2 linked regions of the Astyanax mexicanus genome follow. The protein of the gene in region 1 interacts with the protein of each later gene in a pairwise test. Links are inferred from orthologs where the notes say so. Each region holds a gene or a part of one and is shown on either strand. Other genes may lie near its edges.

Region 1 (7,055 bases):
ATTTATAAGACTATTCCCTATTACTGTCAGTTTATACTGTGACAATTATCCATTAAAATTATTTATTATCAAGAAAGTTCCTAAAAGCTGTATATATTTTAACAACCTAAACCCCTTTAAACTAATGATGGTTTCTGGCTGTTTTGAGTTAGTTGCATTGTATCGCTTTGCATCTTGTTTACGTACTAGTAGTCCTTCGGGAGTAATAAAATCATGGGCATAAGATGTTAACCAATTACATTATTTACTCAGGTAAATTCCCCAACAATAGTCAGTTATACCTTACTACTAAAATCCTCCCCATTGACATTCCTCAACAATACAATTTCCCCAACAATGCTATTCCTTACAAACAAACTTCCACCGCAAGCTTCCTTATCACTGCAATTGCCTAACACTGCTATTCCACACAATGTTTCACATCCTTCCTTATCACTACAAGTCCCCAACAATGGTCAGTCATTACGTGTTCCTCAAAAAGGAATTCCCAAGCAGTGACATTCCTTACCAACACAATTCATCAAAAATGCTATTCCCAAATTTAGTTCCAGAGTATCATTTCTAGGACAATTCACCAACAGTTTCATTGTTTTATACAGTGTTTTTATTCTGTGGCTTTTCATAAAGCAGGATTTTCTCAGTAAAGCCTGGATAACCTAGTCTAAGACAATCCATGATTGAATTTTGGCTTATCTGTTATCAGAAAAACACAGTTTTGGAAAATAATCATCTGACACACTCCTATTCTACACTGTAAAAATGGTTTATCTGTTCATCCAAAACATATATGCATATATTAATAATAAAAACAGTAATTTGTGTTTATTTAACTGAAATTAATGCTACAAATAAAACATTACTAAATTTAAGGAAAGTATTTGTGTTGAATAAATCCAATTCAATTGCCTGTTACTACATGGTTCTACATGTTACTACAAGTCATATATTGTTAAGGTTGTTATTGTGTAGAAGGCCTTGGTAATACAGAGCATTATTCAGCAATAAACATGTAATGAATTTTACATTTAATGAAACTTTACACTTTAATGAAAACATATGTTTAGTTCCCAGAAAACAAACTATATGTGATTGTGTAAATGTAATGCACTCGTATTTAAAGTTATGTACTAAAACAACAACTGTGCTGTAATTAAGGTCCATTTTATTTTAAGTGTGTGTGTCTTTGTACTCACCTGTACTGGTTTATTCTCAGACTCCAGAAGCTCTGAAAGCAACTCTGTCAGTCCTGCTGCTGCTGTAGCACCTTTTATTCTGAAAACACTGTCAAACAGCCAAGCGTTATCCACAAGAGACTGCTGACCTCCAGCCAACACAGCCCAGCCAATGTCGTAATGCTTCTCAGCTTGTAGGCTATTGTTTCTCTCTTTCTATCTCTATCTGTCTCTCTCTCTCTCCCTCCCTCTCTACCCCTCCTTTCACACTCTGTCCCTGTTGATCCTATAAGCTCTCCGTCTCATGTAATTAAAGACTTCCAAATGACGCCACACCGAGACCAACGTACGCATCTCCTGCATAGATACTTAGTACCAACCCACAGTGAGGCAGGATAAGGATGCTAATTCCAGAAACCCAAACTTGGGCACTTGGCACTGGGCACTTGGCATTGGGCATCGCAGCTTTAGGCTAATGTTGGCCCATTGCTGCTCCAAAGTATTACTGTCTAATAAGCAATATTTTTCTATGGAGTTTATACAACCTATACAACATGCTTTTGTGAGGCTCACATTGTTGGAACATGGGCTAGGTGGGTTCCAGGTGGACATGGGCGCAGAGTTGGTTTGCGTATGTGACGTTACTGGGTACCAGTTGGGTTTCCCAAATTTGTCCACAGTCATGACAGCCCAGTTTAATTTTCCATGGGTCACTTCTAGGCCCCATGTGTAGAGTACAACTCAGAGGGGGGCCATTTTAACCCCTCCTTGTCCCATCTAAAACCCTGGTGGGACCCATCACTGACGTCCATATTTGCAACTGTAGACAAAATATTTTGGAAAGCTGCATTTTTTTTGCACAACCAAACTCCTTTAATCAGTAGTAGGTGCACTTTTAAGTTAGGAAATTAGTTTTTCCTTTAATTAATTATGTCAGAATAATTATCTAGGGATAGTCAGGATAAGTATCTAATTATCTGATCTGCATTATGAGGTAACTGCCTCAAATATATAAAGGGAAAACTTAAGCTTATTACCCTTTCTGCCCTGTAGATGGCATCAATACACCATTCAGGCAGCATATGATTCACTATTGTCTCCCCAAGCCAGGGGTTCAAGTTCAAGGGTGCTGGAAGTTATGGAGAACCTGAAAGGGCATAAGATATAAGATCATATCAAGATTAGTATCTCTGCACAAAAATATTTAATACATTTCCATTACACAACTAATTAAAGGGGACATATTTTACCTCTTTTTGCACAAGTTAGAATAGGTCTATGGACAAAACAGAACATTTTCATGAAGGTAAAATCACTCTTAAATAAAAATATCTCATCAGCTTTCTTGCCAGTTTTAGTCCTTTTTTATTCAGTTTTAGAGCTCTGTCACTTTTAAGCAAATAAGCTTACAGTAAATCGAAATGTAATCTTTTTTTTTATAGAAAATCTCATTAAAAGTTTTTTTAATTATTAAAAATACAAACTGATGTTGCCTAAATTAGAAATCCCATGTAACCTCTTATCCCGTGTAATTCAAGGTGGTTTAATGTTACCTTTACAAAATATATTACCTGTAAAAATATTAGATTAATGTAATCGCTTTCAGTGAGATTTGTTTAAAAAAAAAAAAACATAAAACAACAAAATCATAGTCTCCTTCAAAACAATGTTAAGTTGAGTGGAATCACTGCCAAAGGAATGCTTCATTGAGATTCATTTTCAGCGGACGTTAAAATGTCAACTTAGAATGTCAACAGAGACTTGGCTAGCAAAACTAAGGATTTCTGGATAGCTCCTATTCTCCAAAAATAAATGCCTTTTCAAAATACTATCTTTTAATATTCAGACATGCATGGTCAATAAAAGAGAACAGAAAGGTCACACATGAGCCTAAGGTCACCATACCGAATGGCAGGCATCAAATAGAATGTACTGCCCAGATGCCCAGCTGTATGCTTTGGTGTCTGTTGTTCACAATTTAACTTAGCTTAGCTTAATACAATGTCAGCTTAGCTTAATACAAGTTGTTTGAAATCACAGTTTGTTCTGTTAATGTCTGTATGTCTAGTCGCTAATAAAGTTGACAATATTTTCATTGAAGGAACCTTGATTACCTTATCAAAGTGTGCTACCACTCTGAGTGTTTTTACTACAAATTTTAAACTGATATTAATAAAAATATTATTTTTTATTCCTAAGAAAAATGGCAAATTGTATGTCAAAATATGTTTCTCCAGTCAGTAATGTTAAGATGTTTCTACAGTAAGAATAATAAGAGTAAGAATTTATTTCTTGAAAAAGTATTAAAAAAACATGTCAGTGTCACTGCAGTGCTGAGATCCACCACCCAAATAATACTGTTAGCGTCGGAGGCGATTCTATTGCTTGAAGCGAGCACGAAGCGGCATTAGCGACGCCGATATTGGAGCGCTGGTGTAGCCCAACAATCGCGTTGGGCTAGCGGTATTAGCTGCGCCGCCGACCTGGCCTGCTAGCTAGCGTTGGGCAAGCGGCATTAGCGACCCACCCACCGGGCTAGGAGCGCTGGGGTATTAGTGACTGGCTACCTAGCACTGGGCTAGCTACCTAAAGGCGCCACCCACCGGGCTTGGAGCATCTGTAACCCCACCGCATTTGTAACCCCACCGAACGGAGCGCCGGGGTAGCGGCATTAGTATTGCGCAAGCTTGCAGCATGACCAATGCCGACAAGGTTTAGAGCGTCAGGCTAGCGGTAATTTCGGCTCCGCTGGCCGGGCTTGGAGCATTAGGCAAGCGCCGTTAGTGACCCCGGGAACCAGCTACAACGCCGACTAGACAACAGGTAGTTAGCCTTCGTGCACCAGCAAGCTAAGGTCTAGCTGCCGAATCTAGCTTGGACAAATAAGCCATTTAATGTGAAAACCTACAGTTTCAGGTAGTTAGCTTGTTGCCTAATAAATTTAGCAACATTTATTGTGTATGTCCTACTGCATAGCTAGCTAACTAGCCACCATTATTGGTATAGGTTATTGTATTAGCGGTTTAATACTTGCCCATTCCCAAACAAATGGCTGATGTTTTCTAAACTAAATTCACTGCTGCACGGTGTCTCTAAAACCAACTTTATTAATATAGGAATGTATTTATTTATTAGATTTCTGGGCAAGAGTCTCATTAAATTTACTCAAATTTATCTGCAATGTGTCTACAAAATTGTGAACAAAATAAACAGACACAATATTGGGCTGTACATGTTAATTAGGTACGGTTTTGGGTAAGATCTCATTTTAATGAGCAAAGATTTCTGGGCACAAAAATCCTGTGAAATCTTTTGGACACTGCTGTGTCAGTGTCAGAATGAGAATTATCCACCACCTCTATAATACCTGCTTGGTGGTGGTCCTGACAATTGAAAAACTAAGAACAGTGTAAAAAGAGGCTAAAAAGTATTCATAGAAACAGATTACAAACCTACAGTCTGCAATAAGTAAATATTTGCTTTTTATAGTCTGCCCTATCATTCTCCTTTACATGTCCGTTGTCTAAACACCAAAGTATTGTCAACCAATCAAATGCAAACATCATCAGATGTGATGTAAAATGATTCAGAGTCATAGAAGAGCCCAACCACGATGCTTCCTGATCTAGAGGGGTGAAAAAGAGAAAGAGAATAAGCACAGAGAGAGTGCATGGAACTGGCAGCGAGTATTAATAAACAGAGGAAAGCTAGAGGAGGGGTGAGGAGGCAATGTGCTGTAGAAAAGTACAACAGAGGGAGGGCAACAAGTAGAGAGGAAAGAGAGAGAGTTCCACCCTCGGAGAGAGAATCAAGCACAGCAGCTGTTGCTGGTCAGGACAGAGCCTCCACACAGAGGAAACACATGGACCGGGGTTGAGGACACTGATGAAGGAGGGATGGGATGAAGTGGGCGTCTGGATCGGAAAGTGGTCTCCAGGCTTTGGGGTCTCCTCAGAATTTGTATGGACCCCTGTACTTCAGCTGGGAAAGTGTGAGAGGTTAGTAAGTTAGGCAGCCGTACCGAAAGAGGAACTGAGACAAATCAGGAACTGAAGAGCTGGTTAGTGTATTACAATAGCAGCACCTGAAAGAGAGAGGAAGGTGGAGAGAGAATAGAGAACACTAGAGAAAGCCACAGAGAGAGAGAGAGCGAGGGAGAGTAAGAGAGAGAGAGGGAGACACACCAAAAAAGGGCTTGAGCCAGCACTGGAATCACTGCTTGCTTGACAAACTCACAGACACGGGGTGAGAAGAATAAGGCGAGAACGAGAGAGAGAGACAGAAACAGAGAAACACGCAGACTGATTTGTGAGGGGCATTAAAACCTTAAGCATCTGTGGGACAGCAGAGGACAGGGTGCACTCAGGCCTATGTAAGTGTGTGTATTAGAGTGTGTGTTACAGTTAGGGTTAGTGTAGGGTTAGATTTATGGTCAGTGGGAACAGGAACAGACACTATTTCTTCAGGGGTTAATATGGATCAGAGCTGGGGCTGAACGCAGCTCCTCAGCTGTGCTCTGCCACCATGTCATCGGGCCCAGGGCCCCGAGAGGCCCCTGTGCCAAGGGAGAAGGTGCTGAGGGAGTCTGGAGGTGCTGGGGAGGGTGGGGCCTCGGGCCCGGTAGGCCTACAGACACTACTGGACCTGTTGGTGGGCGTCTACCAGGAATTCCAGTCTTCCAGCCCATCCAGAGAAAAATACATCAGCCGCTTCCTACAGTGGGGTCAGTGCCATTCCTTCTTATCTCATATTCCTTCTGTGAGGGTGTGTGTGTTCTGTGTGTATGTATACCTCTATTCCAAATCTGCCAATGCTGACAATGATTTTTTATATTACCAATAGGCTAAAAAGTTACGTAGTGGGCCAGGAGGGGGGGCAAATCTGGGACCCCAGACTGTTGTGGGCCTAGTTTAGCAAAGCACTGATGAAGGGAGGTGCCTACCTGATGACAACTGTGATGAGCTTGCGGCATAATGGATGATAAGTGTATGGATGAAAGGATGGTTAGGTGTTTTGTGTTAGTATTAAATGTTGTGGATTGGATCAGGTGGAGGGTCTTGTTATTGTCATGTAGTTATAGATAAGCGATTGGCAGTATAGAGTATTGGGTAAAGGAATGAACCCTATGTAGAACTCCAGTAGTTAGGTGCAGGATTTATCATCTTCCTGTACTATCCTGTACTGTTTACTAGCTTTAAATAATTGCTGAAAAGGTGATTTAGGAGATAGATGACTTAGAAATGATGAGCAGAACTGTAAACAAAAAAAATGAAAACTAAACATTAAACATCCCAAAACCTGCATCATGGAGCAATATAATATTAAATATTGTTGTAATCATTCTATATATAAAAATATATAGCTATACTGTCTAAAATGTTTTAAAGTATTTAAAGTATTGCATTTTAATAATTTGATATTTGGTTCTTGGTAATGTCACACATTTTATACAGAGATTTCACTCTTCATTAATATATAAATATACAAACTTAGTTGAAAAAACAGCCTATTTTGAATTAATTGTTTTTGTGATCCCACAAAGGACACATAGCACTAAGAGGGCAAAGGTTAGCACACACCTCCTAACTCAGGATTCAAACTGGTGATCTCAGATCATTTTGGCAGCATCTGGACCACTTTAAATCAGTTACTCCCTTTTAAATATCAAGATAAGATCATTAATAAAACATAAATTAAATAAAACCCATATAGGCGCAGTGATGTTAATGTGCCATCCTCGTTAGTAAACACCATGGGCAATATCGATGTCAACTGAAATTATAGAGCTTATGTCCATATATTTTGCGATAAGACTATAACATAATTATTGTGACAGGCCTATACTGAAGTCATACAGAGTGTTTCAACACAAACTGTCATTAG
Region 2 (7,368 bases), on another chromosome or scaffold:
ACACCTCTGAATAATTTTTAACTAATTATAATCTCTTCCACCAAATTCCCACATCCCCATTTTTTTTCTATCTGCACTCCAAGGTCTATTGCTCCAAACCCTGACTGCATTTCTCAGCTGTAGGCTGTATAAGAAGAGCCCTTCACTTATGACAGGCTTTTATGACAAAGTGGCTGAGAAATGGAGCCAATCTAGACTTTGGAACGCAGCTTTTCAATATCAAACCAAACCTCATCATATTTGATTCACTGCTCCATTTATAACAAGATGTTTCCAGACGCCATATATCAATCCATCCAAACCAATGAAAAGTCATGTCTACAGAATCCCACAGAAACTACCAAAAAAAAGAGGTCACTTTCTTTCTATAACATTTCTCCTCACCTTGTTGCTACCTGCACTTGATCTTCATGTATCATCTGGTCCCAAGTCCATCATGAAAAGGAAGTACCAAATTACGAAACATACTCATTTTTCCTCGGCACACCACCTCCCACTTCACATGAAACGTTTGAAACCAAACAAACAACATTTTTTACCTCAGTGAAAATTCCCTCACAGTGTTCTTCCTCGTAGGCTAATTTCTTTTCACCGCTTGATCACAAAAATGCTCAAACATCCAGTCTTCCTACACTCAATCCCTCACCATTCTCTACTCCGTGCCACCATTGTTTGCCACTGACTGGCTGTAAAAGACAAAGAGCACTTTTGTTTGGCGTGGTTGTGGTTGGGATTGCTGAAGCAAAATGTGTTTTGCGTCCAGCGGCTGAGCGGCACAAACAATACTCCTGTGGTGTAATGATGTACATATCTCTGAGGACACGGTTTTGATGTGCCAACCGAATTAGACAATTCAGTGATCACTATTTAGCACAGAAACATGTGCTAGAACAGTTACTAGCTAGCTCAGAAATGAGCCCTTTGATTAGGACTAGCCTCTGGAAAGGCCAAGCCTCTAGAAGGTTCAGCTCAATGCTAGCACTGGCTTTTCCTCAAAGCTTGACTTGGGATGTGAAGGTGGAAGATAAGTGCAGGGGGACCACAGCGGAGGGGAGACAGAAAGGAGCAAGTATCTAGCAGCTTTACTTTTTCTGTGAGCCAGAGATAGCAGGCTTTTCTTCTCGAGTGATGGGAATGGAGCGCTCAGGCTCATCGGAGAGCTTGCGAGGGGCTGCAACCATGAGGATGCCATCTGAAGAGAGTGAAGAGGTGATACTGGCTGGGTCGACCCCGAGAGGGAGCCGGTATTTTCGTAGGAACTCTCGTGAGACAAACCCATGGTCATCCTGGAGAAAAAGATATACATTTACAGGCATTAAACAATGAATACTGACTGAAATATGATATTAGAGCAGTGTTAGCCAGACAAAACGCTTACATCAGAAGGTCAATGCTTGTAATAAGAGTGGACCAACTTGACAAAAAGGTTTGTTGGAGAAAAATTGAGAAAAATACCCCTTCCTATACGTAATAATTACAATATTAACTTATCGTATAATGTATGGACATCTGTTTTTGTTTTATTTATGTTTTATTTATTCAAGATATTCTAATTTCATTTCTATTGTCTGAATCATTAACAATTTATTGTTCTTTAAATGGGTTTAATTGCATTATTGTGCTATTCTATCATTATTCTAATCAGTGACATAAAATAGTCATAGAATTACAATAATATTGTTAATTGCACTTCATGGGACAGTATGTTGTCTAATAAAATCTCTTATCTTGACAGGCATACTTTTTTTATGTTTTTCTTGTTTAACCATATTCGATCAATCTAAACTGGTCTAAAATCTATTTAAATTATATTCAATGAATTACATCAAAATAATTAAATTGAATTAAATCTAATTAATTAAATCCAATTAAGTTAAAATTATTAACCAAATTCTGCAAGACAGGGGTACTCCATAACCAGAGTTAGAAACCACTGCTGTTTGTATTTACCTGACGATCCTCGTGTTTAGCATGAACCTCAATGTAACCGCCGTTGACCTTAACTGCCAATTCCTCAGGTGCAAAGTGTTTTACATCCAAATTGATGGTAAAACGGTCCTTTTCCATTTTCATCTATAAAAGACAGCACAAAACATGAATGTGTTTTGATTTCCAGTATTCAGTTTTATGTAGCTTAAGTGCTCCCTTCCAATTTTAAAACACAGTTTACATAATCATGATTACATGATTTGCTAGAAATAACAAGACATTGTTTAGAACTTAACATTATAATATTGTATGGCAGGGTTATTCTGTATGTGGACTACTGTTGTTTTTATTGTGGATATAGTACAAAATAAAAAAATATATAAACTTTTTGTATGCAAAAAACTGTTATCTGTTTTCTTTTCTTGCTCTTTAGTGACAGAGATGGAAAGGACTTCTATTACAGGGAAATCACTGAGCCTTCCAGCAGCAACATGTGCTCATCACCAAACATATTGATAAAATGGCATCTTTAAAATTGCTTCTTGCAAGGAAAAGTTGACAATGAACACCCTTTAAACTTGCCTGAGAAAAGCACAAAATAATTGTGCTTAATTTATTGTAATCAAGGCCACTGTAAGAGGAGTAATATGAGGTGACAACAAAACTACTCACAGAACACACATTTATATTGCTCATTTGTCCTGCATGGTCCTTCAGAGCAGTGGGAATGTTGTAAGATACACATTTTAATTTTCCTGTTGTAGGGTTTCTTAAGCTGTCTTCTAGATTAATGGTAATTCACCTCCAGGCAGGGAGCTCAGAATCCACAAAAGCAACCTTCTCAAATAACTTTTCCTTATTAGTCCCTGTGTCATTTATTAAGAGAACACCACTGGCAACACCGTTCTCCAGTATGGGGTTCTCCAGCCGAGGTTACCCTTTTGCCGTACATTACGTAGATTTATAGAGTTATAGAGTTATAGAATGTACCATGGAGAAATACACAGATGTCAGAGCTGCTTACCTCTGATAGCCCACTTTCCACCCAACTAGGTAAGCGGAAGAAAGAGGGTCGTGGGTAATACAATGAGGGGTAGGGGGTCAACATCTCACTCTCTGGGATATGCTCCCCGAAATGCTGGTCGAAGATCCGGCTGGGGAAGAAGGATGGCCAGAAAGAGCGGCGGAACCAGGGATGCTGGATGGCGACGTCCATTTCGTCTTCTGACCTAAGGCTAGCGTTGTCCTCCTGGAGAAAAACCTGTTGTCTGCCCAGCCTGCCCACTTATATACACCACCAGTAGCAGTCACAGAGCCAGGCCCAGCCAGCTGCGGATCTTTCTGGAACAATGATGTAAACTGTTTGATGGCCCCCCTTTCGTTGCGTCCCTCCCACTCTCCTCTGCAAGCTGTCTCATCCCTCTCTACCAGATACCTCTCTCCGTATTTATCTAAACCGGTGGTGTGATTTCATTCAGGCAGATGCCGGCCGGATTACAGGGCTTGCTCTGAATACCCATTTGGAAACTTTGCCATACAGAATCTAATGGGAGGTGCTGAGTGTAGCCTTTGGTTTTTTGGCTTTTCTGGCACAAAAACTGTGGACCAAGCAGCCTAGCTGTGTGCCAGAGCAGATTATCATGTTCATGTCCTGATTTGGCTTTATGTAGTTTGAGGTCTGAACCCCCTTTGAGGGTCTTTTGTCTTCGGCAGAACACCGGGCGCGAGGCCAGTTTGTTCGGTGGGCTGATGGTGAATGGTTGTGGGATCATTCTGCAGGGTTGAGCACCATACAGAGTCAATGTGCTTGCAAAGAAGCATTTCCCTGGTGCCCGCCAGCCTCAGCGGGCTTAGTCAAACTGGCACAAGCACCCGGCACAGTGCCACTTACGCAGTCGGCATAGCAGCACAGTCCGTCATCAGTCATCTCCTACCCACTCTGGCCTACCCACTCTCAGTGGCTGGTAATGATTGTGACCGGCAGTGTCTGGCTAGAATTGTCTATGTGTACATACACGCGTCTCTGGTAGAAACCCATTCAATGCAGGAGACCTACACACATATACTACAGGGCAGGGCAGGAGTCTTTAGCTTTCATGGTACATTAAACTAGTTATTGTTCCATGACTTATTGTATATTCTATTGAATATTATGCAGAATTCTAGATATGCACCGACATAACATTGACAGTACCCTTGGGTATTTAACTGACTTCCTGACCTTTTCACTTTTATGTGTATATGTGGCTGCCCCAAGTTGACAACTCATCCATTAACTCCAATGAGTCTCAGAACAGCTGCTAATTTACTTTCCTTTAGAAGAAAGCCAACCACTCTGAATAAAGAGACCCAAAACACTGCCCAGAATTATATCACTCAGTGTGTCTCCCCCTTTAGGCTATGCAACACCAGCGTGTGTGTGCGCCACAGGCTATTTCTGGACCCGTTTATTACCAAGGTCCAGGCACTAGGGCACAGACTTGCTGCCTCTCTTTTCTCTGTACTCTCCATTACAATCCTGCCTGTTTGTTGTACCTGAAAGGACTGCTACATTTTCACCAGCACTGGACACCCGGCCCATGCTTTAGCATGGCTGACCGCACCGTTCCCCATGCTTACCCCATGAGTATGAACTATGAGATGTGTACTCCTGCACGGATTTATGACCAGAACTTTGCAGAAGGTAAGAGAATCTTCAATCAAAAGTCAAGCTCACTTGTATTCAGATTGCTATGCTATTTGGAGGGAAGATAAAAGCTGCCAGCAACAATACATGATTGCAAATTAAGACGTGGATTAAGATGTGGGAAGTATTTATTGAGCTACACATATTGAAGTAGTGTGTAATGCATGTGTAATGTGTAAACAAGCCAGACGTCTCCTAACAGTCTCCTGCAATAAACTATTCCATGCAGCTTAAATTTTAACAATATTTCAACAAATTTTGCAGAAGAGGTGGAGTTTATAGCATGTTCAATAGAATTCCACACATTTTTAATCAAGGATAGGTCTGGTGTTGTGTTTTTTTTTTTTGGAAATCTCTTAAAATGGCAGTAGAATATGAATGAGCATTGTTCTGTTGAACCGCAGGGTGCATTCTGAAAAGGTATTGGCCACTGGTTGAAGGACGTTATTAATGTAACCCTGGGCATTTAAAACTGACTGTAGAGGTGTTCTGGTGACACCAGGCCCTATAGATGTGCAACACATGACAGCAAACTGTTGATCTTGGCACTTTCCACACATACGTTGGTTATCTCCATCCTTCAGCCTGTCACAACTACCCGCCAAATTTTCTTCCTGTCAGTTAATTCCTTCTGGGCGCAACTATGATAAGTGTCTTATAAATCCAGATAAATTGCTTCAAGGTGTTCTATCAATGGCATTATTTTTCATTCACAAGATATGGGCTACTCAATAATATCTTTAAACCAACAACAGCTGAAGAAAAAGTTTCTCTTTCATTTTGAATAAGAAAAAATTTTACTTTTTTAAACTGCATGAACTGCCCTACTTCTTCAACAGCAGACTTGTGATATCAGAGGATGAAGTTAACATGAGTTGTTTAATTGCCAATGAACCTGCACTAGAAGGGCCAACTGAAGTGATGACTGCCTGATCCACTATCCCCCATGACAGCTTTTTATACTGGAGGGAAATATAAGGCCCAGGCTAGGATTTATATTTAGAATACCACACATGACAAAGAGTCCAAGGCTACCACACAAAAATAACTGTCATCCACTGCTGGACTGAATATGAACCAATATCTCATATCCAGCACTGAGCAACCACAGTGTGTGTCATTAATGGTAGTATATATACATGAAGATAAGGGCGCAGTATATGATCAAAATAAAAACATGACGCTTGACCTGCGCTGCTGACACTGTTTGTAATTAGACCTGATGTAAGAGTTTCTGGTGTTTTATAGAGGGGAGGGACGTTCTATTTTTATGGTACTGTCAGGCAAACTCTATGAGGAAGTGAACTCAGTTAGTAGATTAACAAAAATCTAGATATGCACAATGATATCAGAAGAAGAATTATGTATTGCTTAAAACTGCTTTAAATGTTATGTCCACACCAGAGAGATGTTTAGACGTAACTGATATTTTAAAATTATATTGATCAGCATTTGAACAACTTAACTGCATTTGTAACACTACACAATTCAGTTGGGACAGTATACAGAATGCAAATAATAATAAAACACTGTGTTTCTTACATTTACAATTTTAATTGCATTACAATATGAACTGCTCAACTTCATTTCATGTATTAATGTACAGCTCTGGAAACAAATTAAGAGACAACTTCAGTTTTTTAAATCAGTTTCTCTGATTTTGCTATTAATAGGTTTATGTATGAGTAAAATGAACATTGTTTTATTCTATAAACTATGGACAACATTTCTCCCAAATTCCAATGAAAAATTATGTCATTTAGAGCATTTATTTGCAGAAAATGAGAAATGGCTGAAATAACAACAAAAATGCAGAGCTTTCAGACCTCAAATAATGCAAATAAAACAAGTTCATATTCAGAGTTTAGAAATCAATGTTTGGTGGAATAACCCTAGTTTTTTAATCACAGTTTTCATGCATCTTGGCATAACTTGGATAACTTTATGCCACTCCTGGTGCAAAAATTCAAGCAGTTCAGCTTGGTTTGATGGCTTCATCCATCTTTCTCTTGATTATATTCCAGAGGTTTTCAATTTGGTAAAATCAAAGAAACTCATCATTTTTAAGTGGTCTCATATTTTTTTCCAGAGCTGTACATCTATTTCTGTGTTTTAGTCCTGTAACACATTCCACAGAAGTTGCGACATTAAGACATTTACCGCTTTGCAACATTGCCATTCCTTCTCACAATATTTAAAAGACGTTTTGGCACTGGGCATAGCAAGCAATTAAATGGCATTATTTTGGTTAATTCTTGTTGCAACAATATCTTAAGACGTCTAACAGTAAATGGTCATCATTTTTGCATTTTTCTTTTAATTTTTTTTCTCACATTTTGTATTGTGGTCAAGGCAGTCCAGCACGATACCCTCTTATTCTGCACCCATGCCTTTGTTATGTGTGCAGCATAAGGTTTTGCATTGTCATGCAATGCATGGATGTCCCTTGGTATGTGTCGCAGGCCTGAAATGCAGGAATGGGTGTATATTAACAAATTAAATAAATATGACTACAGTGAAATAAATGCAAAGTAAAGAAAACTTTCTTGTTTTATAAGCATTTCCCATACTGTGAGAACTTTTGCCTGATCTGATGATGTAGTAGGAAAATCAGAATACTGTTCTGATTAGGGGTGTGACATATTGTATCGTAGACAATAATATTGCTAATATTTTTGAATATGGTGAACGATATTATACCCTGAAATATCATGCCATATTACCCACTCCTAATTATGACATCAAGGTGCTAC

What was found.
Region 2: the proteins of myotonin-protein kinase (region 1) and hspb2 interact in a two-hybrid assay, tested with the Homo sapiens proteins (2 studies listed by BioGRID). The link is inferred for Astyanax mexicanus from reciprocal best matches to the Homo sapiens genes DMPK and HSPB2.

Annotation. Positions count from the first base shown.
Region 1 is NC_064427.1:29,513,368-29,520,422, forward strand, and holds the start of myotonin-protein kinase, read left to right. Parts: upstream 1-4,033; 5' UTR 4,034-5,696; coding exon 5,697-5,895; intron 5,896-7,055. UniProt on the Homo sapiens protein: Non-receptor serine/threonine protein kinase which is necessary for the maintenance of skeletal muscle structure and function.
Region 2 is NC_064408.1:26,484,922-26,492,289, reverse strand, and holds the start of hspb2 (heat shock protein beta-2), read left to right. Parts: upstream 1-4,365; 5' UTR 4,366-4,518; coding exon 4,519-4,612; intron 4,613-7,368. Other genes in the region: cryabb (crystallin, alpha B, b), read right to left, coding at 1,083-1,286, 1,951-2,073, 2,954-3,145. UniProt on the Homo sapiens protein: May regulate the kinase DMPK.